Linked DNA regions of Danio rerio. The protein of the gene in region 1 purifies or fractionates together with the protein of each later gene. This does not show direct contact. Links are inferred from orthologs where the notes say so. Each region holds a gene or a part of one and is shown on either strand. Other genes may lie near its edges. The genes, in order: ift140 and wdr19.

Region 1 (3,418 bases):
GATTTAATCGTATTTTCACAAACAACCTAACTAGTCAATGAATAAAGTTATTCATTTAATATTCAAAGGTTTGCAGATATGTCCCGTTCAAAGATTCCCGATACGGATCATTTTACCAGAAACACGGAGGCTGACACCGGAGGACAACCGGAGTCTTGCGACGAACAAGCTGTTCCGGATAATTATGAACTGGAACATTTGCACAAATTCCAGCCTTTTCTGGTTAGGGAGAAATGTGAAGAACTGGTCAGAGAAGAATTTAAAGGGATAAAATACGACCACGACCGCTGCCGTTCAGTCTCAGAGAACTTGAGAGCGAAAATACTGGATCTCCTGAAGAAGTTATTCGACCGTTACCGGTTTGTAGTTCAAATCGTAACAGGCGGGAAAGCTGGCCAATCAGTGCTGGCTAATTTCGAGGCTGTGTGGGACACCGACTTTGACGATTACTTCATGATTACCTACAAACAACAAGATCTGTACGCCTTTGTAATGGTTTTCGCGATTTACTGAATTTAAGTTACTAAAAACACATTACATGTCATACATAAAATGAATAAACCATTTGGACATTGTGCTTCAAGAGATGTTGACCTATTGAAATTCACTCAAAACACAATATGATTTAATAAACATAGAAAATATTTATTAAAATAAGTACAATATATATGATACAAAGGTTGTTGAACAAGTCTGGTCATTACATAGTTTGTAAATTGTACAAAACTCGAATATAGTGGTCCCGTGTTATTCTTGATTGAAAGGCCTCGCACGTCAAATATGCATTCTGGGCATTCGCAAACAAGCTACTCTCTACTTAAGGCAACCTGCAAAATGGCTTTTACAAAATCTCACATCATCTCCCAAAAACATCCCATCTGCTAGACTGGCAGTCCAATAGAAACATGGCACATTTTAGAAAAATGGAGGAGTAAACCAAGACTTGATAGTGAGACTTTAGTAGGCTAGTTTTTGTGAAATGTATGTAGTATCTTGAGGGAATTGTTGTCAATGATTGATGTTTTCATCTTCCTCCACCTCTTCATCATCGTCAGCAGCATGAGTGTTGGTATCTTTGTAGACCAGGCGGATCCCAGCAGCATTTTGTAAAGCCTCCAGACTGGTTTGACTCACATACATGCTCAGGTTTATTTTGGGATGTGTTGATCTCAATTCCTCTATTTTACTCCATGCCTGATGAACACACAAATCACAATGTTTAATTATAGTTTTATTTTAAATGGATCTGTGTGAAAAGCACATCTAATCTAGGTTTCAGGGTTTTTCAGACTCTTAGATTAAATAACCCAAAAACATATCAGAAAACAAGTCAGGTACTGAAACAAAAGCTACAAGTGAGACAGATATGAAAGCATCTTCAGATGTTGTCAATGCATTTAAACCCAGCAAGCATTTTTGTGCTTAAAATACATCTAATAGACATTCAAATATGGACATCTTGGCTGAAACAATGCCACATTTGGTCTGCCAGATAAAATGTAATAGACATCTAACAATAGTCTAATAACAGACTAGCCATCAAATACCTAGGGATGAATGACTGCGCGAGCTCTGTCTAATCTGTCTATTTGATGACTAGTCTAGTTTTGGACTATTGTTAGACGTCTACTACATTTTTGCTAACAGACCTAATTCAGCTTTATTTGAGTCAAGACATCGAGCTGCATCCCAAATGGCACACAATGCACTATGTACTTATGCACTTACACACTCAACAGGATAGTATATGTATGTAGTGGCGTCCCAAATGGCACACTAATGTTTTTTTTACTAAGCGGAAGTTCAAATCGTTTCCCTGATGACGTTTGACGGTTGCCAAATCAGTAAAATAAATGAGCAAACTATCAAATAATACCTGCCGTGAGTACAACCGCATTCACCAACGGGAGGCGCTATGATCACTCTCGCAGGAGAAATTAGCTTTCATTCCAAAATAAATAAAGTTATCCAACATGTGCGTCCGATAGCTCCGCCCCTTCCGCTACGTAAGCAAACCTGCGGTCGTTGAGTGTGTGAAGTGTCCATCATTACACACTTGATTTTAGCGGCTGAATGAGTGCATCAACCGGGTAATTCAAGTGCACTCATTATTTTTAGAGTTTTCAGTGTGAACGCACTACTTACACTATTTATACTACAAAATGGCGTAGAATAGTGCATAAGTATGCGATTTGGGACGCAGCTCAAGTTTGTATGTCTATTAGATGTCTTTTAAAAACTAAATTGTTTGGTGGATAGTTGGTTAATGTGACGTACAGGCTTGTCGACCTCCAAACACTTCCAGAAGGGGTCGACTAGATCACTTCTTTAGTGTAAATGTACATGTGGTTTAATAGCCACAATCTGTGCTCAGATTGACTTTATTTTTAAACTTTATGGGATATATTAATAAGCTTTTAAGCACATATTTTCCTATATGTCCTAATTTTAACATAAACCCACAGTGTTGATGTAGTCATCTACATCTTTAATAAGGGTGAGACCACTTGTTATACTTTAAAAAACAAATGCACACAGATTCTGACAACAACAACAACAACAAAAAAAGAACATGCTAGGATTATATAGAGACCTGCGTGAAGTTGCCATGATGGCAGTAGTGTTCCACCAGGAAGCCGTACACATCTCCAACACGCACTGCCAGATCCAGATCCTTCTCTTCCAGCAGAGACTCGCACAAACGCACTGCTTCTACTGGATCCTCCTCATGCATTCTAAAATTACATAAATACACTTAAAGGTACTGTATGCAAGGTTTTGAACCTTCTAAAGCATTAAAATACCATGATATGTTTGCAGATATTTAATAAACATGCTAAGTGAGCATGGTATTTTATCTGAAAAACAATGCTTAAGTCAGTTATTCTGCTTTGAAAATGCGCTCAGTGTCACAATGTCTGTCTTTGTTTTGGTCTGTGTAGTTCCGCCCACAGCCAGTTCACCCAATTATATTTCAGTTATATGACATTTCATTTCAGGCATAAAGGCTGCCTTAATGTATGTGCCGCAGCTGTTCAAGTGACCTCTGAAGAACAGTCGCAGCCTCCGCAGATTCAGAGTTACAACAATCCATGAGGTGGTTTTTAATGAGCAATTAATACAAAGATTTCAAAGTTAAATATTAGCTAAGCAGTGTTTGTCTTGTCAATTTGGCAACCTGCATGTGCATCGAGTCCCCTGGGAAGAGGATGTGTGAAAAAACCCTCCTTAATATTTTCAATTTGGATTGCAATGATTAATCCAACATACTGCAGCTTTAAGGTGATGATACACAGTGCAACTTTTAGAGCAATGTTGCTGGGGCACTTTCTCATTGTCATTCATTCATTTATTTTCTTGTCGTCTTAGTCCCTTTATTAATCCGGGGTCACCACAGCAGAATGAACCGCTAACTTAT
Region 2 (3,836 bases), on another chromosome or scaffold:
GCTTTACGATGTGTTGTGTCTAATTGTTTAATTTTGTGTACTAATATCCATGTATTAAGCAGGATCATGTACATTTAGGTGGTTGTTTTTGCAGAATAAAGTCTTGACATGCTTATCAGCAGTATAATGCAATGCAATGCATAGGGCTTTTGTATAAGACTGAAGGGCTTTGTTCTGTGAAAACAACTTTCTATGTGCGCATTATCTTGTAGATTGTATTGCAAGAAAGTTGACTATTATGGTGGTCTTTTTAATAGGTTGGAGAAGCTAAGGATGAATCTTTAACCAACCAGCTTATTGATCATCTGATGGGGGAAAGTGATGGAATGCCAAAGGTATTTAAAAAAAAAAAACATGAAATAGATAAATCATTAGAGCAGAGAGCTTCAAATATAAAAAAATACAGTGACGATCGGGTAATATATATATATATATATATATATATATATATATATATATATATATATATATATATATATATATATATATATATATATATATAATATTTTTTTTTGTAGTTTAATATATTATTTGGAATTTGAAAACAAAAAACAATTTCCAAGGAAATGTTAAATTTGTTTTCAACTATCTATAAATATTTTTTCTGAGTAAACAATTAATTTGCCGGAAGTGTCAGTAAAAAACTTTTACATTGTTTTAAAAAAAATCAGGTTACAGGTAAAGTTCTATTGAACTTTTAATCATCAAAGATGCCTGAATAAACATGATTTCCTCAAAATTATAGTAGTGGTGTAATTGTACTGACAAATAAAAAGGGTATTTTCATCATTCAGTATATCCATGTTCTTACGTATATATTCAGTTGATTCATGTTTTTATTGCTGAACTCAAAATTTAAAAGAACTATCCGTAAACATTTTTTCTGCTCCATAAAACTACTGGATTTCTCTTTGCTCCAGGATGCCTTGAAACAATATTTGATTAAATTACAACACACAAGAGCATTATTGTGTAGCCTCAGGCAGCTTTAAACACTGTTTTATCGTTTATTATTATATCTTTAATTCATTTTATTGTCTGTTTATCACAAATGTGTGTCCTCTTTTAAAAACCACATTCAAAACATCTGCTTCTGTTGATATTTAATTTTGTTGTTTTTGTCTGATGTGTTTCTGTTGTCATTGCACTCATCATCTCTTACTCATCTTCTCTCTCTCTCTCTCTCTCTCTTGCATGTATTTAGTCTCTCGCCGTGAGTAGTTCAGTGCATCTGCTGAAACTTCACATTGTAGTGTTCTAGCAGAAAGCACGAAATTTGTGCGTGTGTGTGTGTGTCTGTGTGCATATATGAAAGTGTGCTTGTTTCTGTATAGTTCCTTTGTTTTTATGTTTTGACTGTTTTTGTGTTGTTTTTGTTGTAGTTAATTGAACTATATGCAGTATATGCTTGAAAATGGTTTGATTCTGGTCAATACTGTAGATGTTTTGGTATATTTTATCTGATGATTCTGGTATATAGCATTAGCAGCATGAAAATCTATCAGAAAAACCATTGACTGTGTAATGTTTATTGGCTCTGTTCTTTTCTAGGATGCAAAATATCTTTTCCGGTTGTATATGGCTCTCAAACAATACAGAGAGGCAGCAAGAACTGCGATAATAATCGCCAGAGAGGAGCAATCTGCAGGTCTGATTTTAGTGCTTTTTGGATATCTATTTACTAACCAGGTTGTCGTTTGGTATTTTACACTGCAAGAAAATATTTTTTTGTCTTGTTTCTAATTAAAATATCTAAAATTTCTTAAATCAAGAAGCATTTTTTAGACAAGCAAAACATATTGTCTTGTTTTAAGATGTATGTCAAAATTTAAGAGATTTTTTACTTAACACAAGCTAAATAATCTGCCAATCTTATGTCAGCATGAAAAATAAGATTATTTTACTTACCACATTGGCAGATTATTTAGCTTGTTTTAAGGAAAAACTCACTTCATTTTGCAATGTAGAGCATTTTGTGCCTTTACATACAGTAACTGCAAAGACCAAACAGTGCAGTAACCATTTTAAAAATTGTGTATTGTCAGGGAATTCCCATCCTGGGTTTTTGTGACGTACATGTTATGTCTGTATTGTAGGAAACTACCGGAATGCCCATGATGTTTTGTTCAGCATGTACGCTGAGCTTCAGACGCAGCACATTAAAATCCCCGCAGAGATGGCCACAAACCTGATGATCCTGCACAGCTACATATTAGTGAAGGTGAGAAACACCATCAATCATTATTAGTAGCAAAACAATTGAAAAAAATGTTAAGGTCACTACATTTAATATTTCAATTATTACTTTATATATTAATTGTCATATGCTAGATAAAAAATGAAAAATATTTTTATTGGGTATTTCATAAATATGATAAATTGCTGGCGTCACAGTGGAACAATGGGTCGCACAATCGCCTCAAAGCAAAAAGGCACTGGTTCAAGCCCCAGCTGGGTCAGTTGGCATTTTTGTGTAAAGTGCAAGTTGTCCCTGTGTTGGTGTGGGTTTCCTCCGGGTGCTTCAGCTTCCCCCACAGTCCAAAGACATGCGGTATAAGTGAATTGAATACACTAAATTGACCGTAGTATATATGTGTGACTGCAAGAAGGTCTGGGTGTTTCCCAGTTTTGAGTTGTGGCTGGAAGGACAGCCGCTGTGTAAAACATAAAGTATGCTGGATAAGTTGGCGGTTGATTCCGCTGTGGCAGTTGATCCGCTGTGGCGACCCCTGATTAAGAAATGGACTAAGCCGAAAAGAAAATGTATGAATGAATGACTATTGATAACAAAAAGTGTTTCTTGACCAGCAAATTAGATTATTGGAATGAATTGAGAATATTGGAACAGATCATGTGACACTAGAGATTACTGGCCGCTAAAAATTTTGCTTTACATTACAAAAGTAATGTACTTTTTATACATTTAAGTTATACTGTAATATAATAATAATAATAATAATAATTAATAATAAGAATAAGAAGAATCAGGGTTTTCATGCTTCTTGAAAGTATTTAAAAGTACTTACATTTTTAGACTTTTTTTAAAATCCTGACAAATGAAGCACATTTTATCAATATTTCATAAACCATATTTGAATATCACCATTATTAAATTCAACAAATTTCATTTAAGTTCTCTGAACATGACCTTTAAAAGGTTTTAAAAAGGGTCTAAATTTTTAAGGGCGAGTGAAATGTTAAGTAGACCAGAGGTTACCAAACCTTTCAATTCGTGACCCCCAAAATAACAATACCAGTGACTCGCGAGCCGCAAGATCCTCTGAGGTGGTTATACTGTAAATATGTAAACCCTGCACACAACAGTGCACACCTACCAATAGGCCTAAGTCTACTCTTTGTTTAATTTTGGAGAATGCCACTCGAAGACCATCATCTATGTTTAGTTGTGGCTTGAATTTATCATTATTATTTTTTATATGTGCATTTCTTGTTTATATATATGGGTGCTGTAAAGGTGTCCGAAAGTTTAACCTGTTGCTATAAAATCAATCTGCTGCATCTGATGCTATAGCTGTGTCTTTAATTTAACGTAATCCCCCCAGGGGTCGCAAAGAAATCGAAAGGCTCATGGCTTTTTATTAACTATTTTTATGTAACTATTAATTCTTTTTCTTCTGTAGGTCAATTGTACTGGTTTAACCTGCTAGACTGAACTCACTTTTGGAGATTTTAGCTCACCCCAGTGAGGTACAAACAACAATGATTAGGTATCATTGGAAAGAAGACACTTTGAGCTTTACTATGGTCCATCTGGAAAGTTCCATGCTCAAAAATATAAAAAGTTATACAGTATGTCATTAGAAAGAATATTTTTA

Evidence for each region.
Region 2: the proteins of ift140 (region 1) and wdr19 purify together in Homo sapiens (co-immunoprecipitation; 3 studies listed by BioGRID and IntAct, with this or other methods). This does not show direct contact. The link is inferred for Danio rerio from reciprocal best matches to the Homo sapiens genes IFT140 and WDR19.

What each region holds. Positions count from the first base shown.
Region 1 is NC_133199.1:41,562,809-41,566,226, reverse strand, and holds the end of ift140 (intraflagellar transport protein 140 homolog), read right to left. Parts: intron 2,736-3,418; coding exon 2,594-2,735; intron 1,195-2,593; coding exon 1,009-1,194; 3' UTR 622-1,008; downstream 1-621. UniProt on the Homo sapiens protein: Component of the IFT complex A (IFT-A), a complex required for retrograde ciliary transport and entry into cilia of G protein-coupled receptors (GPCRs).
Region 2 is NC_133176.1:23,073,893-23,077,728, reverse strand, and holds part of wdr19 (WD repeat-containing protein 19), read left to right. Parts: intron 1-257; coding exon 258-335; intron 336-1,551; coding exon 1,552-1,648; intron 1,649-2,096; coding exon 2,097-2,221; intron 2,222-3,836. UniProt on the Homo sapiens protein: As component of the IFT complex A (IFT-A), a complex required for retrograde ciliary transport and entry into cilia of G protein-coupled receptors (GPCRs), it is involved in cilia function and/or assembly.